Linked DNA regions of Mus musculus. The protein of the gene in region 5 binds, or shares a complex with, the protein of the main gene of each other region. Links are inferred from orthologs where the notes say so. Each region holds a gene or a part of one and is shown on either strand. Other genes may lie near its edges. The genes, in order: Lsm2, Snrnp200, Prpf4, Lsm5, Usp39, Lsm3 and Prpf3.

Region 1 (4,176 bases), on a different chromosome or scaffold from region 5:
TTAAGGGATGCACTGCTATCAACACCACTTAGCTAATCATCTTTCAAAGTATTATCATCCTCCAGGATATGAGAGAGGTCATGGAAGGTAACAAAACTTACAACCAATAAACTGAAGGTCAGCCCAGATCTGCATGACTCCCAGAAGCATCAACTATTATTTTTAAAATATTGATTTTTATTATTTGTGTGTATGTGCATGTAGTTACCCACAGAGACCAGAAGAGGGCATCAGATCACTTGCAGCCAGAGTTCTAGGTAGGTGTGAATCACCTAATGTAGTTGCTGGAAACTGAACTCTTATTTTTCAGGGAGAGCAACAAGTTTTGTTTTGTTTTAAAGATTTATTTATTATTATATCTAAGTACACTGTAGCTGTCTTCAGACACTACAGAAGAGGGCGTCTGATGTCCGCTCTCTTTACAGATGGTTGTGAGCTACCATGTGGTTGCTGGGATTTGAACTCAGGACCTTCGGAAGAGCAGTCAGTGCTCTTAAAATCTCTGAGCCATTTCTCCAGCCCCCAGCAAGCTCTTTTTAAAGCACTGAGCAATCTCTGCAGCTTCCCTAACTGTTATTTGTAAACATTTACTGCTTTGGAGTCACAGACCTATGTACACATACTGGTAGCTGGAATTACTCTTTATTATTTTTGCTACACTCTTTTTTTTCTCGTATGAGTTTTTTGTTTGTTTGTTTGGTTTTTTTTTGTTTTTGTTTTTTTTCGAGACAGGGTTTCTCTGTGTAGCCCGAGTGCTGGGATTAATGGCCTGCGCCACCACACCCGGCTTCTTCTTCTTTTTTAAAAAATTGGATATTTTCTTTATTTACATTTCAAATGTTATCCCCCCCAACTTATCTTTAATAATGAAGATACAAGTCAAGTCTTCTCAGTTCTCCAGCCCTCTAGCCCCTAAGCAAGGTTATCAAGGCCAGTGCTCCCATACCACCTTACATGCCCCACCTTATATTATATTTACCCTCTGTGTAACCAACTTTAACCACCTCAGATCCTGAGTTTTACTTCCTCACTCTCTACATCCTATGAATCCCCACAGCTCTGTAGACCATTCGTGTGATTTGACTTTTAGACTATGAAAGGTCTTAGTCTGCACCTCAGTCTGGGCCAGCTTCTAACTTGGCCACACTGGTCAGAACCATCCTGCTGGTCAACCACTGATGTGTGTTCAAAGGTTTCAAGAGTCTACAAATAAAGTTATTTTGCTGGGCGGTGGTGGCACACGCCTTTAATCCCAGCACTCGGGAGACAGAGGCAGGCGGATTTCTGAGTTCGAGGCCAGCCTGGTCTACAGAGTGAGTTCCAAGACAGCCAGGGCTATACAGAAAAACCCTGTCTGGAAAAAAAAAAAAAAGTTATTTTAAAGAGAAACATGAGGGCTGCATATGAAGTTCACTTGTTGAGCATGCCCAGTACATGAAAGAAAACAAAAGCAAACAAAACCCGGCTTCAATGAAACTATAATTTTCGAAGCACTATTAGGAACCAAGTAGACCTTAACGGATGTGACAAGAACCCATAAACATATTTCCAGTGGTACAGCATTTAAGCATTTACCCCAACTCCTGAATCGTTAAGAGCAAATGATACAGCCAGGCAAATCCTAGCACTCAGGAGACAGAGGCATGTGGATCTGTGTGTTCCAGGACAGCCAGGACTACACATACATGTTACTTAACTGTATCTCACTGTGTAACTCCGGATGGCCCTGGACATATGTAGACCAAGCTGTCCTTGAACTCACACCTCTGCGTTCAGTGTTGGGATTACAAGCATGTGTCACAATACCAGGCTCACTCTTAAACTAATCTTTTACACTTAAGACGAAAGGTATTTCTTCTGTGTTTTGCCTACCTACTCTGAAGTAACTTTGTCAACAACAACGACAAAAAGGATCAGGACACCCGGCACCCCCACCTTCCACCAACTCGCTAAAATAAGGACCTACCTCAGGTCATTCTTGAGTTCCACGACTACATCCTTGCCCACAAGAGACTTGAAAAAGGAGTAGAAGAGCTATTGGAAAAGAGGGAGGAACTATCACATGAAAAGGGACGGGGAGGAGGAGCCCGTGACAGTATTTTGAAATACTAGTCTTTGTAGCCCCTCCTAGTAGTTCTCAAAACTTCATAACCAACAACAATCCGTTAAACGGGACTCTGCAGTTCACGGAGCCACGGAGTGACAGGACCTGCGTTGCACCCCTCGACGCTAGAACCCACTCTCTGAGTCGACCACCTCCCAGCTGAGACCGCTTCCCAACCGCACCCTCACAAAGTCCTCGTCAACAGCACAGAAGTGCAAGGCTCGCTTCCCGTTCTCCCCCGGCGCCCGTGGGCTTTCTCTTGGACTTGCTAAAGGTTTCCCCCAAAACACCATCGGCTCCGAGCAGCCTCCTCACACTGGGGTGTGGGCAGTAAGGCTGTACGGAAAACCCTGGGGCCTGGCTGCCGCCCCAAGCGACCGACACGAGTGCCCGCACCCACGCCCGCACGGTTCGAACCGCCCGCCGCGAGCGGCGGCGCTCCCTTTTGACGTCACGGTACCCACCATGGTGCTGGCGCCACGCGGGGCGGCCTGGACCGCGAAGGAAGGCGCCGGGGACTGCGAGCCGGAGGCAGGGCGGGAGCCGGAGCGCGAGCCCGCGCGTGAAGCAAGACTGGATCACGCAGGCGCACGGGGAGCCGCGAAAACCTCGGCTGAATTCAGGCTCAAAGGGAGCGGGGTAGGGCAGAGCCGAGAGGACCGCCAAACCGGTAGAGGGGCGGAACTTCCTGTCCCCCCCACTTCCTCCCGAGCAGCCGCTTTCTCACAAGCGCATGCGTGGGCCGTGGCAGCTGCGCGTTGGACGTAGTTCGTCTCTTTTTCTGATGGTTGTTGAGACTTTTCTCTCTGCCGCGTGATTAGCTCGTAGTCTACGTTTTCTATGGGGAATTATTGGGAAGATTGAGAAAATTATGACTTGCGTATTCTTTAGTAAAATTTAAAATGTTGCTAAGAGCTGGACAGCGTTCGTGCCCAACTGGAATCCTGGAGTTGAGACGGGAGGATTCTGGTTTAGAGGTCAACTAAAGCTATTATAGCAAGACCCTGTGTCAGAGAATAAAATATACACCAATACACACTGGTTATGGTGTGTGTGAGTGTGAGAGAGAAACCGGAACACAAATCCTGATTCTTATCAAAGGTTCCCAGTAAGTAAGTTTCTCTCAATTTCAGTCTTTTGGGGTGCAAAGTTGACCCAGAGCGGACACATTCTAAGCAAAGCAAATGAACAACATCCCAGCTCTAATGTTATATATATATATATAATTTGGCATAGGACTCGTCTGTAAAGGACTAAACTGACTGGAACTCAGTGACAGAAATATTTTACTTTATCTTAGCTTTTTTTGTGTGTGTTTGACAGTTTTTGCCTGTATGTTATGTCTGTACTACATGAGTTCCTGGTAGAAGAGAGGGCTTCAAATGCCCTGGGCCTGGAGTTACAATGGTGAGCCTCCTTGTGGGTGCTGGCAATCAAATCTGGGTGTTCTGGAAGAGCAACAGATGCTTGTAACTGCTGATCCATCCCTGCATTACTGAAATATTTTCAACTAGATCACCGACAGATACTACTTTGGATGTTCTGGGAACAGCATTACCAGGCTTGTAACATGCTGGTTGTGAAGGAGTTCACAAGAGCTGACTGATTTAAAAAAAAAACAAAAAACTAGAAAAGCCTCAGTAGGCAAGTTCCAGAGAAGAAAGAGATGGTCTGAGATGAAAGGGCTTTGTTGTTATTTCGATTGACTTGTTTTATGTAAGTATGCTGTGGCTTTCTTCAGACATCCAGAAGAGGGCATCAGATCCCACTACAGATGATTGTGAGCCACTCTGTGCTTGCTGGAAATTGAACTTAGGACCTCTGGAAGAGCAGTCAGTGCTCTTAACTGCTGAGCCATCTCTCCAGCCCTATTGTTTTTTTTTTTTTAAATAATTACATTAAGTGGGAAGTTGCTAGGTTGTATCTTCTGTGGATATCATGTCTGGATAAATAGGGAAACACTTTCTATTCTGTCTTCTCTTCTTGAGGCTGGCTGTAGGTGCAAGGCAGTCACGGGACACAGGTGAAAATTCTGAGAGTCTAAACCTGCTGATTGCAGGGTGGAATTCTCT
Region 2 (3,500 bases), on a different chromosome or scaffold from region 5:
GCACAACAGCTTCGTCCCCTTCCATGTCATCATCAGAAGCTTCTTCTCGGACTTCCCCATACACATCTTCATCACCTTCCTATGGAGACAATGTTACCTGTAATACAATCTCAACACAGATGTAGAACTGGCCCTGTGTCATACAGGTCCTGCTTTCTATCACTCTAAGTAAGCTCCATACTTAGAACAACGGCTTTGGGGTAAAGCCAATAGTGTATCAACCATATTCCAGGAATATCAATGGAATGACCATTTGGAATGGGTTTATTAGATGTATCTATCCTCTTTTCTGCTTCTCACCTTAGCTGCAAATATCAAACACTGGGATCATATGCTCCTTCTGAAACACAGATAATATCAAACTAAGACTACTGGCTAATGGAGGAGCTATGAAGACGAATACACAGGAAAGTAGATTGTGAGCCAGAAATGTAGACATCATGCTTAGTTTGCATAATCTCAACTGTGGACTGTGGACTTAAACATCATGTTCAATAATTAACATCTGTTAAATAAATTGCTACGAGCAAGGAAATCTGTATCAGGTTGTTCCTAATTAAAACTACAAATTAACAGCTGGGCAGTGATGGCACATGCCTTTAATTCCAGCACTCAGGAGGCAGAGGCAGGTGGAACTCAGTAAGTTTGAGGCCAGCCCTGATCTAATGAGCTAGTCCAGGACTGCCAAGGCTACACAAAAGAAAACCCTGTCTGGAAAAAAAAAGAAAGAAAAAAAGAAAGGAAGGAAAGAAAGGAAGAGAAAAGAAAAACTCTACCAATTAACTATTCTGTAGGAAGTAGCATTTTGTTTTACTAAAACAGAAACCGAGGCAAAATGACCTGCCTAAGATACAGGCTCAAACTCAAGATTCCTTGGCTCTCAGTTCAGTGCTCACCCTGACTCCAGTAACATCTTATCTTCCAGGACATTTCAGGACTGGTACTTTCTTTTTCAGAACACAAACTCACTCACTGAAAACTCTAAAGTAACCAACTTTAAAAATGACAGGCTGGAGAGATGGCTCAGCTGTTAAAAGAACTGACGGCTCCTTTGAAGGTCCCGAGTTCAAATCCCAGCAACCACACAGTGGCTCACAACCATCCATAATGAGATCTGATGCCCTCTTCTGGTGTGTCTGAAGACAGCTACAGTGTACTTATTTACAATAATAAATAAATCTTTGAGCAGGAGAGAGCAAAGGTCCTAAATTCAATTCCCAGCAACCACACAAAGGCTCACAACCATCTGTACAGCTACAGTGTTCTCATACATAAAATAAATAAATCTGAAAAAAAAATGACTTAAGAGACATGTAGAGAATTTCACTATGTAGCCTAGCTGGCCTCAACCTCTTGACTGTTGGGAATGTAGGCACTGTGTTACCATTCCTGGTTCAACTTTCCTTTTTCAATTGTCCCACTATTCATATTTAGTTATAATCTAGAAGTGGCAAGCTTTAACCCCAGGAGCTGCTACAACAGCTAAATAGCCAAGTACAATTACATCCATACTCTTAGGTGAATATGCATTCTTAAACTAGCAATTAGCCCACAACTCGAAAGCCGTGAATTACTATACTATGGTTAAAACACTCCAGCAGGACACAACGTCACTGAAGATGTGCTTTATCTTTTTTCTTTATTGATTAAATGGGTTCTGACAATTTCATGCACGCACACAATGCATACCAAGCTCTCTCTCTCTTTTTTTTTAAAGATTTATTTATTTATTATATTTAAGTACACTGTAGCTGTCTTCAGACACTCCAGAAGAGGGCATCACATTTAGTTACAGATGGTTGTGAGCCACCATGTGGTTGCTGGGATTTGAACTCTGGACCTTCGGAAGAGCAGTCGGCGCTCTTAACCACAGAGCCATCTCGCCAGCCCCCATACCAAGCTCTCTTACTGCAGCTCCCCACACCTCACGGAGCCTCCTCTTCCCTACACATCTGTTTCTCACACTCATGCCTCCTTGTGTTATTTGTGACCCACTGAATTTAACCATCAGAGACCAGAAGGCTTAGAAGTGGTTACAGGACTGAAGATAATGACCCCCTTTCCATAATCTATCAATAACCAATAGTTAGGTAGCAGGGAGAAGACTCCTCCCCAATCTCTGACTGGGTGTTGACAGGGCCAGTCTTGGACAGGCCCACAGTAAGTAAGTGCAGCTGCTTGAGTTCATGATTGCAATAACTGCACTGTGCCCACAGGATGGCATTTCTCAGTCCTCCTTCCTACTTTCATTGGTCTATCTGGTTTATTATAAACTGTCAGTGTACACCTACTAGTTTAGATTAGCTTCTAAAAGAACCTAACGTGAACCACAATAACTTCTTAAGCAGAATGACACAAAATTTGTAAGTATACCACAAAACACTGTAAAACGCATTTAGCTAGGAATTTCAGTTTATGAGAAGAGCTCCCACTACCTTGGTAACATCACACAACAGAAGGGATCCATTTAAAGCCACTCACCTCCTCATCAGACTCAAACTGCACGTTCACACCATAAGTCTCATCAATGTTGTCATCTGAGGAGATGTGGGATTACAAAGAGAGGGCAGTGGTTAGTGTGGAGACACTCAAGCCCATTTCCTCAGCTGCCTGGCTTGCTTACTCTCAGGCCAGAACACACAGACTTAACCAACACGAAAACAAGCACCAAGGCCTCTCAAGCCTGCCAACCTGGATTCTACCCTGCTCTGCTTCTTCAGCTCCTAAGCCCTCCCTGCTCTCTCTCACTGTCTACACAATAGGTCTCAATTTAAAAATGGCTGCCAGGGTGGCAGAGATAGTTCAGCTACTAAAGGATAAGGCTCACAACCAAACATCAAGAGATAACTCTCCACTTTATTCTTCTTAGGTGGGTTTTGCTTAGGAACCCTGCAGCTGGAACTTGCTATGCAAACCAGGCTGACTTGTTGGGATAAGCCTGTGCCAAAAGGCCTGCAGATCACCATTCTCTTTAAGCAACACAACATAAGCTATGGAAACAATGCTATTCTAAAATTTTAACAAAGATGCTGAGTATTCAACAGAAAGGCCAACAACCACAAAACATGGTCTGGACACAAAGAGCTCAGGTACCCATATTCTGTATCTCCTTGTCGCCACCGTAGTCTGTGATCTTCTTGCCCAGGTTTACCAGCACATGGTATCTGGTATCATCTGTCTGACCCAGCAGCAGGTCAATCTCCCGTCTTCTCTCCTTGTCTCGAAGCTTTTCATTCTTCAGCACAGCCAGGACTTCATCAGCTGCTCCACAAAGAATATCTCGAGGCTGAGAATACAAACAACGTACAACAATAATATGTAGAAGGGCACTGACCAGCTTTGTGACAATATAAAGTAAAGAAGCATGCATCTTCAAAACTACACAAGCTGGAGATGTGGCTCACAAGTTAGGACTGCGTTGCTTTTGCTCTTGGGTTCAATTCACAGCACCCACATGATGGCTCAAAAGAAAAATCACAACTCAAATTCCAGGAGATCTG
Region 3 (3,500 bases), on a different chromosome or scaffold from region 5:
ACTGGTTCACATAGTTCCACTGCTTACAGCTGGGTAATTCAGCAGTTATTCAAGTCCACCCAGCAACCTTAAAAGAATGAATTCTCTTAATGTGCCTGATGCACCACTGAGGTAGGGTTAAATGACAGTGGTTCTGCCATTCAGAATCCACTATTTTCTTACAGTGGTTGAAGAAATGGATTACTTCCCCAGACACTTGCTCGGCCTAAGGCTTACATGGAACATTTCCAACTCGAATGCTCTCTTGGATCAACCGAAAATTAAGTTCCTAGTAAGGTTCAGACCAGAGAACTCAAATGTGCCAGATCCCGAATGCAGGGCTCTATGCCAGTCTCATCATTTTACAAACACTGTAAGATGTCAAGAAAATGGTAATTTCATAGAACAGGTTAAGGGTGGTTAAGTGCCAAGTGAAGGGAAGGCCTGAATGGCGTAACAGCCACATATACGGAATATACTTGGTTATGACTGGAATCACATGTTTAGCTGGGTGTGGTGAGCATACTTTTAACTTAGAAGGCAGAGGCAAGCGGATCTCTGAGTTTGAGGCCAGCCTGGTCTACAGTGAGTTCTAGGACAGCCTGGGCTTCACAGAGAAACCAGCCCCTCCCCAAATGTTTTGTTATATACCATATATTCATGATCTACAGAAGAGCAGGGCAGAACAGGAAGCCGATGGTGTGTAAACTTCCAATTCTGGAGAGGGAATTTCACACTATACACAACCTTCTCTGAAATTACTGCTCTGTGCGGATTTACCGTGCAGTTCTGGAGTGCAGCAAGGTGAAGCCAATCACTGACTGATGAGGAAGAACTATGGAACCCAGACACACCTGAAAACCTGGTGTTCTCCTGGGCCAACAACTCTACGTAAAGAAGCTGTTAGTGTCTGGATGTGACTGATGGCTTACACCTACAACTTACAGGACTTGAGATGCAGAGGCAGGAGGATTTTGACTCTGAGGCCAATCTGAGCTACACAGTAAGACCCTTTGTCACAAAAACCTGCTACTTCCTCCCCCCTCAAAAAACACCACAATAAACATCTGAATAAAGTAACAGAAAGTGGAACAATTCAGGCCTAGAATTACATTAGATCTCAAAACTAAAGAAGGGGATCTCTTTGGACAAATGGTTAGGTTCACAAAATGCTGAAATAGAAAATAATCCTTTCAAAGAGTTTTTATAGTAAGATTTTACTCTCAGCAAGTGTGTGTGTGTGTGTATGTATGTATGTGTGTGTGTATTTATATATAAAAGTTTATGTTTGGTAACACCCAAACATAAATTAGGATTTTTTCCAGTTCCTTTGACATGAAGTGTTCTTTAATACATAAGGTACACCCTTTAAATAACCAACAGGAAGGAGGCTGTACAACACAGACATCATGTTTGTTTTTAAAACCCCTTTGAATCTGGATACAATGGCCAGATTGTTTTGTCATGAAGGATATCAAACTTCAAAGCCAAAAGGAAGAGGCTCTAACTTGGCTCTAACAAGGCCAAGTGTGCAGTTCTGAGTCCCAGCTGCAGTGAACATCCTTCGTGAACACCACAGAAAGGGAAAATCTTTTTTACTGTGGAGCTATCACACAGCTGCAGTCTATGGCTCTGGTTTCATTCTCGGCGTCAGGAAAGGAGCTCGCCACAAATGGTGGTGACATGTCCTCATAACTGGGGAGATTTCAAATACAGTCCAGCTATCTTTTTTTTCTTTTTTCCTCGAGACAGGGTAGAGAAAAGGCTGTCCTTGAACTTGCTCTGTAGACCAGGCTGGCCTCAAACTCAAGAGATCTGCCCGCCTCTGCCTCCCAAGCTGGGATTAAAGGCATGCGCCACCACTGCCTAGCCAGTCCAGCTATCTTGCTTGCTGAATCACCCGTAGTCCCAAGCACATACCATGTTATAGAGAGCCAAGTTCAAGCACTAAAAATACAACTGCCAGGCACAGCAGCACATTTCCATAATGCCATCACTCGAAGGGCAGGACAGGAGGATTACTTACAATGTAAGGCTTCCGGGACAGTCAGGGATATACTTACAGATTCTGTCTCAAAATGCCAAATAAAAAAAACAAAAATGAAAGAACGGTCACAATCCTGAGTGTGAGGGAGGAGGCAGGGCACTGAAAAGTGTTGAGTCTATACAACATCTACAGTTTTTGGCAGAACCTGAGATGAGAATTTTGTTCTAACCACGAAGGGCTTGCTACCACCTAAAGACAGGCTTCCTCAAGAGTGGGCTGATGTGAAAATCCAATCCAACACATGGTATTTGGCAGGAAACATGATAGAACACAATACAATTCTTTTCCTTTGAGGAAATGGCTCCGTCGTGAGAACACAAGTTCTGAGTCCTTCCGTGGTCTGGCCTACTCTGCCATCCAGAGCTTGAAGGTTCTGTCATAGGAGCACGTGGCTATGAGCTGCCCATCAGAAGAAATGTCCAGGCCCATCACTTTGCCCTCATGACCAGCCAGGGTCTTCAGTGGGGACCAGCCTGGGTGGGTCCAGATCTTGGCTGTATTGTCATAGGCACCTGTGAGCAAGAAGTCCCCATGGATAGCTGCAGAAGACATAAAGCAAACATGAAGAACTCAAGTATTCAGAAAGAGCTTAAGAAAAAGAAAAAAGACAAAGACCCGACAAAACACATTATTTTGAAAGAAAGGTTATTTCTGATTTCAGATAAACTGAACTCATTCATTCTGCATTCCTAGGGGCCTCCAAGATAAGAGACGGTCATGAGCAGACTGAGGATAACCATGTAACAGATGAAGGCTGTGTGGCTGCCTTTTCCCAGGTGGATGGTCTGTTCAGTAACAGCAAGCATCTAGTTAGTGCCTGACATTCATGGAGGACAAAATGAAATGAAGCCTTCGCAGAACTCTTTGCTTCAAGAAGGCATGCTTTGCCATAGCGCTGTCTATAGGTATGGCAGAGGGAAGGAAGCTGAAATTTGCTTAACAAGGTTCCATGTCTAAGTTAGTCTAATGGCCAGGATGTATTCCATGAAGCAAAGGGTGTCTGGTGTTAAGGCTGAGAACAAGAGAAAAGCTTACGCTCAAATTTGACACCGGTCACTAAGTTCTGATGGGCGGGGATGGTGTAGACACAGCGTCGCTGCCGAAGGTCCCACACTTTGCAGGTGTTGTCACCACTGCCAGTGGCAATGTGGTAGCTGAGGATCAGACGTATCATAGTTAGGAACAGAGATTATTGTCTGGCCAGGACCCTTCCCATCCACTTAGTTTGCTTTACCCATTGGGGCTGAAATTTATCCCATAGATTTCCTTCAGGTGGCCTTCCAGGAACATAATGCAGCGTCCTGTGCGTAGGTCCCAAACCCGGCCAAATGCATCCAGTCCCCTGAGGAGATAACATCTGTATGAATACACGGAATCCAGTCTGACGAGGAAGTGGGGTTGCCTAAGAGGTGAGACCACTAAGCTGCCTGGTCTTGCTTTGTGGAGAAAGTCTTACCCAGTGCCAGCCAAAGAG
Region 4 (4,288 bases), about 16 Mb from region 5:
GGTTTAAAGACAAGATCAACAAGAGAAGCTTGGAGTGACACACATCCACTGCACACAATGTTTCCTTTTCTCAGAATGCGGCTTTTGCCTCTTCTCTGCTTACCCATTCTTAGTCACTGTGTGAGAAGACTCCCAACAACTCCTCAGTTCTTCAAGCTGTGGCCAAGGGACAGTGTTTTAACTTGTTTTAAGCACAAGGAACTTAATCCTGACTCTTACCTCAAAAGGATGGCTGTCAAGTGTGTTTGTAATTGCCTTGGGACCTAGTAGATCTGTAAGACTTATAGATTGGGCGTGGAGGAAAAAAAGCCACCACTGGCTTGGAATTGAGAATGGAGCTGAGTTTTCATTGCTTTCCATATTAAATCCCATAGTGCTGTGCACATGAAATGTACTATTTGTCCTCCTTCCCACTCTCTTGGTTGAAGACTTTTCTGAACATTGTTTTATGTATCCAGCAAGCTGCTAGTCAAACAATATTCCACTGATATGTTTTTTCAATGGAGGAATGAAGGGTGCTCATCTCTCATATTTAGGCTGTTTGGTTTTAAGTCTGTCACATGAGATGGACAAAGGCAAAGTATTTATCTGCTTTAACAACAACAACAACAACAACAACAACAACAAAACAAGCACGTAAACGAACAAACAAAAAACACTAGGGCCCAAACTCCGGGCCTCATGAATGCTAGGAAAGTACCCTATAGCCAAGCTACCAGCTAGCCCTTGTTAGTTTTAATTTCTTATTTTGTGTCGGGGTCTAAGAGGGCCATGCCTGCAACAGATGCCTCCTTTTGTCTCTCAAGTGTTGGGTTTACTGGCCACTCCACGTTAAAAGGGGGCTTTTTAATCTTTTCCAATGCAGAAGTGTGATAGCAAGGTTTCCAAACATGATGGAGTCAACATACAGAGTGACATCTTACGGTTGCCTGCAAATTGAAAACTGATAGTGACTTTAATGCCTGTAATAAACCAGACACCTAGAAACGACAAGAAGAAATTAAATAATAGTAGAAGTTTTTTGTTTGTTTGTTTGTTTGTTTGTTTTTTCTAAAAAAAAAAAAGCTTGTGAAAAATGCTGCTTTATAGACTTTCAGTCCTCTGGCCTTAAAAGTACCAGATTCCTTAAAAAAAAAAAAATGAGTAGTTGTTGAGGAGCATGCAGAACGAGTTTATAGTAGGAAATATAAATTGATTTTATTGCTCTGAAGAAAGATACAGGCTTGAAATGCAACCTTCTAGAGGAAAATTAACCGACTCAGAGATCTCGTATGCTGGTCTTCCGGCGGCAAATTATCTCTGAAGTTTAGCAAAACTTGGGGGTACCATAGGTGCCTGTTGGGTTGGTGGCAGGGATAGAGATCCGAACCTCTCTATCGAATCTGTCTGCGATCCATTGGGATCCTCTGGATCTCAAGATCGGCTTTGGATTAGTCTTGTCTGAACCAGCTGTGGAAAAGGGCGGAAGCGCGCAATTTTAAAGTCTGCGCCGGTGTCCTTAGCCACTTCCGGCGTGGCCATGGCGGCTAACGCGACCACGAACCCGTCCCAACTCCTGCCACTAGGTAAAAGTCTTGTTTGGGGAGCGGTCGGGTTGCTGCAATTCCACGCTGGGGGCCGAGGCTGGGCCACCGCCCCTCCGGGCCCGGCTGTCCGGTCCTTGGCGTCACTGGGCAGACAGACAGACCGTTTTGCCTGTCGGTGGTCGGTGAGGGTCCCACTTAGTGAAGGACGTGCTCGGCCTTTTTGAGCTCGCCAGTAAGATGTCATGAGTCGCGCAGTCCCAGTTCTCAGCTTGGCCTTCTTGGTCTCCAGATCAGGTAGACCCTGTATTGGCTTGGGTAAGGAGTGCGCCACGGCATACAATGAATCTTACAATAGAAATCTGGAAACTAGCCCCGTCGTTCATTAATTCAACAAGCAATTCCCGCGCAGTGCCAGAGAACTGTTGAATAATGAACTTGAATTACAGCCATTGCTTTCAAGATCGCACACCGGCACGCATCGTGCTGAGCAATTCTAAGATGCTGAGATGAACAGGTTGGCCCAGGAGCACAGAGAGTTAAGGTTAAGTGAGAGAAGGAGTGACGGGAAAGCCGGTGTCTGTAATAATGCTTCTCCCTTGTCATGTTTTGGGGCTGGTGAGCTTAGTGAATGTGTCTGTGATTGAAAGTTTTTGCAGTGTTAGATATTGTTTATCGGTACAAACACTGATGAAGAAAAACAGTTATGGTCTCCACCCACCTCATGGTGTGTGTTTTCATACATTAATCAAATAATCTAAATAAAAATCACAGTCCTATTAATTGCAAATAAAGAGTTAAGTGAAAGCTAAGGCAAACATTTGTGCTAACGATTAAACAGAGATTTGTGTAAGATGTAAAATTACCGAATGGTTCCAGATACATATGTAGGAGAGTATGGCCTTTTTTGACATCATTGGGAGGGGAGGCTCTTGATCCTGTGGAGTTTGATGCCACAGCATAAGGAGAATGCTGGAGTGGGTGGGTGGGTGGGGGAGCACCCTCATAGAAGCAATTGGGGAGTGGGGAGAAGGTAGATATGGGAGGGGTGTTGTGGAGGGGTAACCAGGAAGGGGGAATATCATTTGAGATGTAAACAGATGGAATGATTAATAAAAGTAAGTAAATAAATAAATAAATAGCAAAAAACTGAATGTTTTTGCTTATCTTTAATGATAAAAAATAATAAGTGAAGTAGGCATTCAAATGTTGGTCGATCTAATAAGTAGGTAAAATTACCCTTTTCCTTCCACAGAGCTTGTGGACAAATGTATAGGGTCAAGAATTCACATTGTGATGAAGAGTGATAAAGAAATTGTCGGGACACTTCTAGGATTTGATGACTTTGTCAGTATCCTTTTTAAAAGCGGGAATGGTGTAGGTTTCTAAAGATGTATTAATATAAGAAAGAACTATAGACAACCGAAGAATTTCTGGTTATTACATTAAGAATAATTTTGTTTTCCAGGAACTTGGTAGTATTTTAAGAGGTGTGTTTGCTGACAGTTGATAGGGCTCTTGCCAACAACAAACCTTTTGAATTTGCACTATCATAGTGTTGAACATATTTTAAACCAAACAAAAACATATACCTGAATAAACCTTATTTATTTTCTTAACATTAAATTCAGATATGGTGTTGGAAGATGTCACAGAATTGTGAGTAGTATTTAAAAAATTAAAAAAATTTGAGAGGAGGGGAGGAAATCTCTTTTTAATTAAAGATGGTGCCTTGATTACTTTTTTCTATTAATGTGAAGAGACAGCATGACAAAGGTATCTTATGGAAGAATGCGTTTAACTGGGGGCTTGCTTACAGTTTCAGATGGTTAGAGTCCCTGACTGTCCTAGCTAAGAGCTTATATGTTAGATAATAACCAAGAGAGAGAGAGAGAGAGAGAGAGAGAGAGAGAGAGAGAAGTAAATAGAGAACGCGAGCGCACTAAGTGGGTATAATTTAGGTTTTTGGAATCTCAAAGCCTAACAGGGTGATACACCTCCTCCAAAAAAGGCCACACCTCCTAATCATTTCCAGTTTGCCAACAGAGGACCAAGTGGAGGCCATTCTCCTTTAAACCTCCATAGCAGCTTTAGTATGATCGATATAAAAAAAATTACTTGTTGGAAAATACCTTAATACTGAAACGTTATTTACTGGTGTTTGTGAGGTCCAGTTAAAGGATTATTATCTTCATATTATTCCTGAATTTGTAAGAAATTAGTGTGAACAAGCTTTATGGTGAATTATATTTACATGAGTATTATCCAATGGGCAGTTTGTATTCTGTATATATTTACTGTAATTATATGCGTTCACATTGAATCATGTGTAAGAATAACAGCTTTGTCACTAGGGATTGAACCCAGGGCCTTGTGTGTGTGCTCTGCCACCAAGCTATTCTCCTTACCCCAGTAGGACTTTTAGGGAGGGAAAGTGTTTCTAATACTGCCTTTGATTACTTGTTTATCCAGACTCCATTTAATCTATCTTTTTAGTGAAATTACACCAGAAGGAAGAAGAATTACAAAATTAGATCAAATTCTACTAAATGGAAATAATATAACAATGGTAAGACATTAAAACTTTTCTCTGGAAATTATTTTACTTTTGTAGTGTAGGGATTATGGAACTGACTTAAACTTCTATTTCGTTGGCAATGTTCATGGCACTGAGATAGACACACTGAGGATGGGAAGGGAGCCTTGGTGATCTGTGCCTCAGGGCAGCTGTTGAAAGTGCTTTGGTCCTTGTCTTAGTCAGGGTT
Region 5 (3,000 bases):
AGACAGGAGGATGCGAAGCTAGAGGCCAGATAGGGACATAGCAATACCCTGTCTCTAAAATTTAAAAAAGAGAAAAGAAAAAAAAAAAAAAAAAGAAAGAAAGAAACAAAGAAACAAACCAATTCCAAGAGAGCTGCTGTAATGAGCTGCCTGCTGCCCACTGGTGTGCCAGCTTGCCCACATCTCAGGCCCAAGGCCTCCAACCCTTCAGTGACTGAGCTTGACAGAAGCCATTTCTGCCAGTCAGCCCCTGCCTCGGGCTTCCCATCAGCCTGGCAGAGACCTGCTCAAGCTACAATGATTCCACTTCTCTGCCTGGGGGTGCGGGGGGGGGGGGGGGGGAACCTCAGTCCCAAATCACCCACTGTCAGCCTTCTAGGTAGGCACGAAAACCTATCATTTTAGCCAGATATTTTGTGACTTAGAGACAAATACACCCCTAACGACATACCACCCACAAGCTGACAGGAAGAGACAAGGATAGTGCCCACCCACAAGCTGACAGACTACAGACAGGAGTATATAATATAAAGTTAAGAAGGAAAACAAAACCCTTAACAAGCCTCAATGGGGTATATGAAACAACAGCCTGGTTTAAAAACAGGAGGATATTTAATCCATCGCACACGTCCCACAGGAGATGAAGGGAGCTACAGGAAAGCCACTACCTATGACAGAAGGCTGCTGCTGACTTCACGTTTACTCCTAGGGTCTCCAGACCTGACGTTTCTACCGAACTGTCTGTTCTTTGATACTTGCAGCAATTCAAATAAGGCATCCATCTGTAAGAGTTCTGCCTGCTGATGCTGAAAGGGAAGAGTGTCGACCACAACGTGCTGCCGGAGACAGCGCAGAACATCAGGGCAGACAGGCTCCTTCATGGTGATGCAGCCAGAATCCATAAAAACTGGACTGGGGCAGGAATCTTTCAGTCAGTCTGTGTTCAGCGACAGCTTCAGTATTTTTATTTACCATCTTCAGCCACAGCCCTTGGGAATAAAAACCCAACAAGGCGTTCAAGCCCCCTGCTGGTTGGTTTCATCATTGTCCCGCCTCTTCCAAATCTGTCAGAAATAGAAAGTGATCTCTTCAGTGAGTTAGCCCTCAAGTAACTATTCTGTGCAGCAAACAGACAGCACGACACCGATACACACGCCAGTCTCAAAAACAATCCGCACCATCCACAACAGCGCCTTTCGTTCCATTTTCATTTCCCACTCACCCGTGACTTTTCTTCCATCCTTTTTCAGATTTATTTATTATTCAATGTGTATGCGTGTTCACCTGCATGTATGTATGTGCCCACCATGGGCATGCCTGGTAATGCACACAGGTCAGAAGACAGCTTTGGATCTCCTAGAACTAGAGCCACAGATCTCTGCTAACTCACAAGTCACACACACACTTCTTTGCTTCCTTGCTGACTGATAGGCTTCCATACTTTTCCTTTCTGAAAGTCTGACTGGCTTCTGGAGCCACACAATCTGATCCCCTTACACTCAAAGCACCGGGCCCTGCAAGCAAGGCTACAGCAGCTCCACTTCCTGCGTTGGCCCACACCCACCTGAATGTACGCCTCAGACAGTGTGATCATCTGGGGCAGAATGTCTGTCACCTGGAGGTCTTGTAATTCATACCACTTGCCAGTCCCCTGCACAAAGCACAAAGAGCTGGGTTAATGGCTCTCCAAAATCAGAGGTTAAAAATGGTCACAGCCAAGAGACAGACACATCAGAATGGCCACTAAACATCAGCAAGAGCCATGAGGATGGTTCATAACCTTGGCTAGACCTGATTCAACAAACAGTTCAGGCAACCTCAATTCCTGTGGAGGAGCCTTTGAAGTACAACGAAGTCCCAAACATTCTGCTTTCCTTTCTGTCCTTTCTCTGTGTTTGTATATAAGGGTGCCCTCACATAACCAGTCTAGCATCAGATTTTCTCTTTAGCCAAGGAGGGACGGCCTTGAACTTCTGATTCTCTGCTTCTACCTCTGGAGTACAGGCACATTAGAGTGTATGTCACCACACCCAGTTTATGTGGTGTCTGGAATCAAGCTTAAGGTGTTGTGCACACTGGATACCCCATCACTTGAGCTAAATCCCCAAACCCATTTCTACCCTTCTGGAAATGAATTTAGGTGGCCACTCAAGAGGAAAAAGAGAAAGCCCTCTAATCTCTAATGTCTTTTTTTCTGTCAAAAAAAATGGTAAATCAGACAAACTCAGTTAAGTTGAAGACTTAACTGAAGCCAGTAGCATAGGACGGCCTAGGCTTCCTCATGTGTGAGAGCTATGCTTTAAGGACAGTAAACCACTAGTCCTAGAGACATTAACCAGGTTAAAACAACCTACACTAAATCCTGTGTTTGTACAAATATCCTGTGTATGCTTTCGTTTTCAGCTTAGGCACACTCTTAAAAAAACTTTTTTAGTTCAGCCAGGCATGGTAGTAATGCCTGTGATCCTCGGACCTAGAAAGCTGAGGGCGGAGCTGCCTCAAGTTCTCAGCCAGCCTGGGCTACAGAGTCAAACGATGCCATAAAAAGACAAAGCTTCAAAATGTAAATTTCAAACACATCAAAGGGTCTTGTTAAATAATGAAGTGTTCCACGGGGTTGGGACTCTGCCATTGTAAGGAGCCCTAAGATGGTACCACTCTGGCTGGTGGGGCTCTGACTCAGAACACAAGTTCTCAACCCTGGCTGGGTATGAGAATCCCCAGGAGAACCTCAGAGCACCTAACACTTCATTATACATCCACATAATCTAAGGCAGTTTCCTAATTAACTAGGATCAATAGCTTGGATTTAAGGAAGGGTGTAACAGCACTGTAGACCCTGTGGCTACATCCCTGGCCTCTACTCCAGTTGAAAACCAATGTCTACTGTGGCCGTGCTGGGGCAGGGCCAGCACTTAGGACCTCAGAAAGCTTCAGGGAGCATCTAACAGTAAGACAGAACTAAAGCCATTGCCTCTAGTATATAGAGGTCTCTGAAGC
Region 6 (3,969 bases), about 19 Mb from region 5:
GCAGAGCGCAAGTCTGAGGGGGTTTTAGATAAGAAGACAGAGGCATGAGGTTTTGTTGTTCTACATCCGTTTGGCTGCTAGATGATGACCTGAGGCAGACAGATGAGAGGAAGCCAGAAAAGAAGCAACGTGAAGTTCACTTACTCAATTGTGGACAGGATCTCCAGCTATAAAATTAAAGAGAATTAGGTACAGATTTCATTGGTTCCGAAGCTGACTGGACTTGCTGCCGAACTGGCAGTTAAGAAAAGGTGTGATTTATTGAAATGGAACAACTGGAGGATGGATTTGTTTAAGAGGGAAGATGGAAGTTTTGCTTTGTTCAAGATCTAGGTAAGAAGCGCATTCTAGCCAGGGCGCAGTGGCAGACACGGGTTAATCCTAGCTCTAGGGAGGCAGAGACAGGTGGATCTCTTGAGTTTGAGGCCAACCCGGTCTACAAAGTAAGATCCAGAACAGCCAGGGCTACACAGAGAAACCTTGTCCGGAAAAACAAAGCAACAACAACAAAGCACATCCTAAACTCTGGAGTTACACTGGATGGCAGTCGGGAATTTGGAGAGAGATCTCGCACGCACTAGAGTCTCCCTCCGTCTTGGTTTTGGGGTCTCCTTGAGACACCTGGTAACTGCGAAGCTTTCTGCTGCTCAGCCTTCAACACTTGCTTAGAGGCTGAACTTGGCTCTAATGGTTAACAGAGGGGTTTAAGGCTGATAGCAGAGGCCCTCGGGGACGCCGCGCACCCGGCCGTGGAGACCTTGCCACAGGCGCAGATCCGCTCCGCCGCCCGCACCAGCCTCAGCCACCACTGCCTGGCATGTTGCAGACTCGGCCTCTCACCCGCAACGCTCTCCTCGTGCCGGGCTACTTTGTTGTCCTCGGTTTTCTGGCCCCGCTTCCGCCGCCTTCCGTCTGCGGTGCGCTTTGGGGCCATGCTAGCCAGAGGCGTTCCTCGGGACTACCGCGCAGGACGCCGCAGGTCTCCGCGTGCCCGCCCCGCCCGGAGGCGGGCCACGCCTGGCCGCGCCCCCAGCCCAGGGTAGGACCACGCCCTCGAAGGAAGCCCCGCCCCCATGCAAACTACGAGGGCGCGAAGGGACAAAAATAATATAGTTCGCCTTCAGTGCGTGGCGGCCTAAGGTTTCTGAGTTCCTGTTCCCGCGAGAGGTGGAAAGGGCGCAGCGTTTGAAACATGGCGGACGACGTAGATCAGGTAAGTTTGACCTGAGGCGTTCGAAGAGGAAATGCTTTCGCTTCTCGCTTTTTCCACGCTTCCCGTGGGATGGCCCTTTTCTTTTTTTCCGAGTCACCACGGCCTTCCGTAGCCGGGCCTGCTCCTGAAACCTCCGTAGGCCCAGAGTTTCTCAACCCGCCCGTCTACCCATCGCGCTCGTCGTCGCCCTTTCTCTGTAGAATGAATGCAGGCGGCTGGAGATGCCCATCTCTGGGAGCTAGCTGTCGGGATTCCGACAGAAAGCGGGAGGTCGTAGCAGGACACCAGTTTAGCAATCCGAGTGAACACGGGGGGCACAGGCAGTGGTTCCCTTGGAGTGAATTACGAGGGGAGGTCAGAGGAAAGGTGCAGTTCTAGGAGATGGAGAAACTGCTAGAGATGGAGTATGAAGAAAACAAGCAAAGATCTGGTACACAGGCCAACAGAAGGGCCTACGGGCCTCTGCACCTACCCTTCCCTATTTCTTAGGTAGCTGGTGTACCTTGGCCACCAAAATGTCTTTCACACCCTCACATGCACACACAGCCCCTGCACACACACACACACACACACACACACACACACACACACACGTACGTACGTGCTACCCTACTGTGTTTCTCTCCAGAGCATGTTGTTTTAAATATGTATAGCCCCTGCACACACACACACACACACACACACACACACGTATGTACGTACGTACGTGCTACCCTACTGTGTTTCTCTCCAGAGCATGTTGTTTTAAATATGTATTTATTTAAAGTGTTTCTTCCACAACTAGAGTGTAAGTTCCTTAATGGGGATTTATTGGGGCTGGAGAGGTGGCTTGGCAGATAAGAGCGCTTGCTGATCTTGGAGACAACCCTGGTTGTGTACTAGCACCCACATGCTGCTCTCTCAGCTGACCAGTGATTGAAACACCACCCGGCCTCTGTATCCTATGAGTAAGCCTTTGCCTTTCCTCAGCAACAGACCACCAATACCGTAGAGGAGCCCCTGGATCTGATCAGGCTCAGCCTGGATGAGCGAATTTATGTGAAAATGAGAAATGACCGAGAGCTTCGAGGCAGACTACACGTAAGTCTGTTAAAACATCTCAGAGCCAGAGGCTGCATCCTACCTCCTTACAAATTAGAACTGCAGTGTAAACTTACTTTTTTGAATTTCTTTTGGGAATTGGAAAATCCTTCTATTCACTTTTAAAATATGTTTTCCTTAACCAGAATGGTTTTTTAGAGAGGGGTGGGACTCCGGTGAGACAGAACAAGGCATCTGATCCCCTGGAGCTAGAGTTACAGACTGTTGTGAGCTGCCTGATACGCTCAGGTCCTGTTCAGGAATCCAGTGCTCTTAGCTTGAGCATCTCTCCAACCATAGAGAACACTTTCGTTTCCTTCAGTTTTGTCTTCTGCTTATTTATGAATAAACTTGTTTGTTCTCTTGGGTTTAGACAAGGTCATACTAGAAAACCTGGCTAGCTTCAAACTCCAGCTCCCTCTGCCTCTCTCCTGAGAGCTGGGATTACAGACATGCTCTTCATTCTTGGCATTGTCCTGGATTTTTTAAAGTTATTGGATAGGGTATTTTAGCTTTTGACATATAAAGCTCTGTTTTGTCATGAAAAGAATTAAATAGCAGGCTAGAGATAGTTTGCCTAGCATGCGGCAAAGCCCCTACCCTAGCACTACCCAAAAAAAAAAAAACAAAAACAAAAACAACTTCATAGAAATGGGTAAAATTAAAGGCGAAGTTCCATTTTTCTCTATGTCTGACCACTGTTCAAAGTTGGCTGCATAGTCGTCTGCATGTGTATATGCCACCTGTGTCTGAAGGGGAGCCTAGTGAGGAACGGAGGCATGTGCCATGGTTCCAGTACTTAGAGGACCAAGGCAGGACGATCATATATTTGAGGCCAGTCTGGCCTACATAGTGAAACCTTGTCTCATATGTACACACTTTTTTCACATGTTTTTTGTGTGGAATAATTACACAGCTGACACAACGCCACAGGATACAGGATTCTGTGTCAGACTTCAGTCTCCCCCCCCCCCCCCAGCTATAAAGCTGCAATGGGTACTTTCACAGATATTGCTTGTGCACATTTATATGTCTGAGGAATTGGTCCCATCATTGTGTACTTAAGGTTTTGTCTCCTCTTGTTACTTCCCTCAGGGCTGTTTGTTTACAACAGGAATTGAAATAAGTCTTTTAGTTCAGGCTTAGAAATTAGAAACAACCCTCTACTGACAGTGACAGAGCCACTGTAGGGGACCAGGCCATCCCACTTCAGTCTCAGTCTTAGAAATTCATGTTCTTTCATGAAACCCAAGGATAAAGAATTGATCTACAAGCTGGCCTTGTGGGAACAGCAGTGTCAGTTTGGTGAGAAATGTGGGATGATGCTAAATTGCATGGCACTCTGGTGCACGGAATGATCCCCAGGCCAGACTGTGGCCTCTAACTTGGAGTTGTCTGCAGCTCTTACCTCTGCAGTAACGGCCCAGCTTTCTGTTTCCTCCCTGCTCTCCAGATGAGTTGCTCATTTGTGTAGCTGCCAAGCAGTTCCTTCCCAGTGTGGCTGTTAGGCTATTTTTAATCTTGATATGAGCAGGCAAAAGCGCTTAGCACTTTGTTAGAAGAACATGCAGTGGGTTCTGAACAAGCCCCAGGAGGTTTGCTGTTTAGTAAAAGGAATGAACTTTGGAGATTGCACTGAACACTGCGGTTGAAATCCTTCCTGATTGAGCCCACAG
Region 7 (3,500 bases), on a different chromosome or scaffold from region 5:
TATCCTGGAACTTACAGGATATAGACCAGATTATGTAGACCAAGCAGACCAGCCTCAAACTCAGAGATTCCCTGCCTCTGCCTCTGCTTCATAAGTACTGAAATTATATGTGCCACCACTACCACTTGGCCATTATCTAATCTTATTTTATTCCCAAATTCTTCTCTTTTTTTCAAAATTTATTTTCAAGTCCTCTAGAACCGGACTTACAGATGGCTGTTAGCCAACCTGTGGGTGCTGGGAACCAAACCTTGGTCCTCTGGAATAGCAGCAAGTGTTCTTAACTACTTAGCCACCTTTCCACCCCTACCCTCACCCCTGCTTCTTTTGTTGTTATTTCACGTGCACTGGTGTTTTGCCTACATGTATGTCTATGTAAGTGTGTTGAATCCTGCAGAACTGGAGTTACAAACAATTGTGAGCTACCATGTGGATACTAGGAATTGAACCTGAATCCTTTGGAAGAGCAGCCAGTAGTTTAACCATTGAACCATCTTCCAGGTCATTTCCCTCCACCCCCACCCCTTTTGTGGTGGTTCAAGAGTCTGAGAGCCCAAGGCCTCCTGCATACTAGGCAGATGTTCTACCACTGGGATGCATGGGAAGCAACTCTATCATCTGTTCCTAAGTTCTTGAATTAGTCTTGGGATGCCAGAACAATCACAAACGAGACAGGGTCTTGCTATGTAGTTCTGACTTGCTAAGAACTTGTTAGGTAGACTAGTCTAGATTCATATTTACCTCACTACTCTTGCTTCTCCCTCCTGAGTAACAGAGTTGCAGACATGTACCACCATGTGCCACCCATCTAACATATGGTCTCGACCAATACTGGTTAATGGCTGAAGCTCTTAAGTAATAAGCCAAGAAATCTGATTCTATTCTTACCTCCATTATTAAGTGAAAAGTATTATTTTAGTTCTATCAGTTATAAGCAGACAACAAACTACAATAAAGCCAAAAAATGTAACTGAATTAAAATCATTTATTAAAAATAGGAAACTTGCCAGGCGGTGGTGGCGCACGCCTTTAATCCCAGCACTTGGGAGGCAGAGACAGGTGGATTTCTGAGTTCGAGGCCAGCCTGGTCTACAAAGTGAGTTCCAGGACAGCCAAGACTATACAGAGAAACCCTGTCTCGAAAAACCAAAAAAAGAAAGGGAAACTTTTAAGAAATTATTTAATGTTCTTTGAGTTTAAAAAAGTCAGTAACGGGCTAGAGAGATGGCTCAGTAGTTAAGAGCACTGACTGCTCTTCCAGAGGTTCTGAGTTCAATTCCCAGCAACCACATGGTGGCTTACAACCATCTGTAATGGGATCCACTGCCCTCTTCTGGTGTTTCTGAAGACAGGACAGTGTACTCGTACATAAAATAAATAAAATAAATACGTCTTTTAAAAAAAAGTTAGTAATATTCAAGTAAATTACCTTTAAATAACTACCCCAGAACTTTTAGAAGTGATATGGGACTGTGTGAAAGATACTCACGGTGGAGCTATGCCCATGGCATGGAGATTAGCTAGGCCCACCATGTTGGCATTGCCAATAAGCCCTGGCTTCAACGCCAGCTGGGCCTGGATTCGGGCTTGCAGCTCGGCAGCTTTCCTCGCCTTCTCAATGGCATCGTTCATAAAGGTAGCGGCCTGGGAGGGCTGAATAGTGTTGCCGATGGGAAGTCGCTCTGGTTGGGAAGAAGAAGGTGTCTTTGGCTATAAGACAAGAGATTAAAAGAAATCAGAGAGTGTGTGATAGGCATACAGATACATACACAGCATGGCAGATTATGGTGGACAACTGGAGCCCTTTCCGGCCTCTCATGTGGATGAATGACAACAACCTTGTGCTAACTCTTCTTTTCCGAGCAATCAGGCACCATACCTGAGGTGCAGGGGGGCTGATGAAGCTCAGCTGTTTTTTCCGTTCCTCGATTTGTCGTGTTGCTGCTTCCATCATCTGTTTGATCTGTTCTCCAGAGGGAAAAGGTGGAAAAGATTATTTCCTCCCATAAATGTTCCTAAATTAAAAAGCATTCAGTTCTAGAGACCTAAAAGATTGTGAATGTCTCCACAATAAATATATTATCTATACCATAGACAAGAAAATTTGCTAAAGATAAGCCTATACCCTTAAGCACTAGAATTTTTCAATCTTTTCCCCCCATGTTAGGATTGATATATTAGGTAGTATATGTGACTGAGACTCAGACAATATGAGGTTAGAACTGTACCACACTTTCTGCCTGTATTTCTTTGGATAAGGCATTAATACCTTAACCTCTCATCAATCTAAAAGAGGGGAAGCAGTACATGCACACTTCCTAACATTCATTCCTACATTCAAGTGGACAGGGAGGCTGTAGAGATGGTTCACAGCTAAAGCACCAATCACTCTTGTTTAGGACCTGAGTTCAGGTCCCAGCATCCATATGGTGGCTCACAACCATCTCTAACCAGTTCTAGGGTATCTGATACTTCTAACTCCCACAGGTTCCTGCATGCACATAAAAATTCATACTATGTTTAAAAATCATGGTTATCAGCCAGGCATGGTAGCATACACCTTTAATCTCAGCACTTGGGAAGCACTAGCAGGCAGATCTGAGTCTGAGGCCAGCTAGGGTAACAGCAAGACTTTGTCTTTAAAAATGTTAATGATCATGTTATCAGCCCCTGAATTCCTACTGTAGGTATGCATGGGCAATGGTGCAAGGCCTCTTTCGATGCTTGTTATGTTCTAACGAAGAGCAGAAAGAAGCTCTAAAGATATAGTCAAGCTAAGTGCTATCATTTCATTTCATTTTCCAACATTGATGAGGCAGACAACTGGGCAAACGATGAAGTAACACACTAGGTGCTCAATAAATACAGTGTCAATAATCCTTAGCTGGGCTACTTCTGATCAAACCAAAGACTGCTAAAATATAAAGGAAAAAGTAAAACTTCCTCAAATGGTTAACACAAACTCAAATCATGATCACTGTGAGCCTGGTGCCACAACTCACAAAATCCCTTTGCTTCTTTTAACTAACCTGGAGCTTTGTTAGCATGCCAGGGCTTTCTGATGGAGGTCCAGGGATCACCTCTGGCTCCTCTTCTACCTCCTCAAAACGGGGTATCCGCCGCTTCTTTACCCCCGATGATTCCTTTGAGATCTCAGAGTCATCACCAAACACCTCCTAAAGGAACCCAAGATGAAAGAAGAATTGCACCCCTCCCTAGGGGAAAGGAACAACCATCCCAACCCTACCAGCATCCTGTGGTTTCCCAGGGGATATGACAACCTTTCAAATAACTACTTGCAAGAAGCAGGGTCTCTAGATACTCCTCCAAGTGGACCATCTCACCCAACTTCATCATTCTCTTACCCCACTCAAGCAAATTTCATTCCCATGTTCTGATAAGTTTTCCCATCTCAAGATCTTTGCCAGTGCTACTGCCTACATTTGTAATGCTCTTCCTCCTTCCCACAAATCCTGTCTAAAACTCACCTCCTCCAGGAA

Evidence for each region.
Region 1: Usp39 (region 5) and Lsm2 share a complex: the UniProt entries of both Homo sapiens proteins name them as parts of the U4/U6-U5 tri-snRNP complex. The link is inferred for Mus musculus from reciprocal best matches to the Homo sapiens genes USP39 and LSM2.
Region 2: Usp39 (region 5) and Snrnp200 share a complex: the UniProt entries of both Homo sapiens proteins name them as parts of the U4/U6-U5 tri-snRNP complex. The link is inferred for Mus musculus from reciprocal best matches to the Homo sapiens genes USP39 and SNRNP200.
Region 3: Usp39 (region 5) and Prpf4 share a complex: the UniProt entries of both Homo sapiens proteins name them as parts of the U4/U6-U5 tri-snRNP complex. The link is inferred for Mus musculus from reciprocal best matches to the Homo sapiens genes USP39 and PRPF4.
Region 4: Usp39 (region 5) and Lsm5 share a complex: the UniProt entries of both Homo sapiens proteins name them as parts of the U4/U6-U5 tri-snRNP complex. The link is inferred for Mus musculus from reciprocal best matches to the Homo sapiens genes USP39 and LSM5.
Region 6: Usp39 (region 5) and Lsm3 share a complex: the UniProt entries of both Homo sapiens proteins name them as parts of the U4/U6-U5 tri-snRNP complex. The link is inferred for Mus musculus from reciprocal best matches to the Homo sapiens genes USP39 and LSM3.
Region 7: Usp39 (region 5) and Prpf3 share a complex: the UniProt entries of both Homo sapiens proteins name them as parts of the U4/U6-U5 tri-snRNP complex. The link is inferred for Mus musculus from reciprocal best matches to the Homo sapiens genes USP39 and PRPF3.

What each region holds. Positions count from the first base shown.
Region 1 is NC_000083.6:34,980,478-34,984,653, reverse strand, and holds the start of Lsm2 (U6 snRNA-associated Sm-like protein LSm2), read right to left. Parts: upstream 2,801-4,176; 5' UTR 2,572-2,800; coding exon 2,569-2,571; intron 2,525-2,568; exon of another isoform or gene 2,398-2,524; coding exon of another isoform or gene 2,287-2,397; intron 2,035-2,286; coding exon 1,967-2,034; intron 1-1,966. UniProt on the Homo sapiens protein: Plays a role in pre-mRNA splicing as component of the U4/U6-U5 tri-snRNP complex that is involved in spliceosome assembly, and as component of the precatalytic spliceosome (spliceosome B complex).
Region 2 is NC_000068.7:127,211,386-127,214,885, reverse strand, and holds part of Snrnp200 (U5 small nuclear ribonucleoprotein 200 kDa helicase), read right to left. Parts: intron 3,287-3,500; coding exon 3,094-3,286; intron 2,538-3,093; coding exon 2,482-2,537; intron 80-2,481; coding exon 1-79. UniProt on the Homo sapiens protein: Catalyzes the ATP-dependent unwinding of U4/U6 RNA duplices, an essential step in the assembly of a catalytically active spliceosome. Plays a role in pre-mRNA splicing as a core component of precatalytic, catalytic and postcatalytic spliceosomal complexes.
Region 3 is NC_000070.6:62,422,283-62,425,782, reverse strand, and holds part of Prpf4 (U4/U6 small nuclear ribonucleoprotein Prp4), read right to left. Parts: coding exon 3,483-3,500; intron 3,369-3,482; coding exon 3,261-3,368; intron 3,181-3,260; coding exon 3,062-3,180; intron 2,566-3,061; coding exon 2,372-2,565; 3' UTR 1-2,371. UniProt on the Homo sapiens protein: Plays a role in pre-mRNA splicing as component of the U4/U6-U5 tri-snRNP complex that is involved in spliceosome assembly, and as component of the precatalytic spliceosome (spliceosome B complex).
Region 4 is NC_000072.6:56,701,900-56,706,187, reverse strand, and holds the start of Lsm5 (U6 snRNA-associated Sm-like protein LSm5), read left to right. Parts: upstream 1-1,488; 5' UTR 1,489-1,519; coding exon 1,520-1,565; intron 1,566-2,778; coding exon 2,779-2,874; intron 2,875-3,154; coding exon 3,155-3,182; intron 3,183-4,019; coding exon 4,020-4,092; intron 4,093-4,288. UniProt on the Homo sapiens protein: Plays a role in pre-mRNA splicing as component of the U4/U6-U5 tri-snRNP complex that is involved in spliceosome assembly, and as component of the precatalytic spliceosome (spliceosome B complex).
Region 5 is NC_000072.6:72,318,176-72,321,175, forward strand, and holds the end of Usp39 (U4/U6.U5 tri-snRNP-associated protein 2), read right to left. Parts: intron 1,652-3,000; coding exon 1,565-1,651; coding exon of another isoform or gene 1,561-1,564; intron 1,065-1,560; coding exon 1,017-1,064; 3' UTR 837-1,016; coding exon of another isoform or gene 766-836; 3' UTR 501-765; downstream 1-500.
Region 6 is NC_000072.6:91,514,866-91,518,834, forward strand, and holds the start of Lsm3 (U6 snRNA-associated Sm-like protein LSm3), read left to right. Parts: upstream 1-1,169; 5' UTR 1,170-1,192; coding exon 1,193-1,213; intron 1,214-2,182; coding exon 2,183-2,293; intron 2,294-3,969. Other genes in the region: Xpc (DNA repair protein complementing XP-C cells homolog), read right to left, coding at 841-934. UniProt on the Homo sapiens protein: Plays a role in pre-mRNA splicing as component of the U4/U6-U5 tri-snRNP complex that is involved in spliceosome assembly, and as component of the precatalytic spliceosome (spliceosome B complex).
Region 7 is NC_000069.6:95,845,886-95,849,385, forward strand, and holds part of Prpf3 (U4/U6 small nuclear ribonucleoprotein Prp3), read right to left. Parts: intron 3,177-3,500; coding exon 3,030-3,176; intron 1,964-3,029; coding exon 1,880-1,963; intron 1,711-1,879; coding exon 1,490-1,710; intron 1-1,489. UniProt on the Homo sapiens protein: Plays a role in pre-mRNA splicing as component of the U4/U6-U5 tri-snRNP complex that is involved in spliceosome assembly, and as component of the precatalytic spliceosome (spliceosome B complex).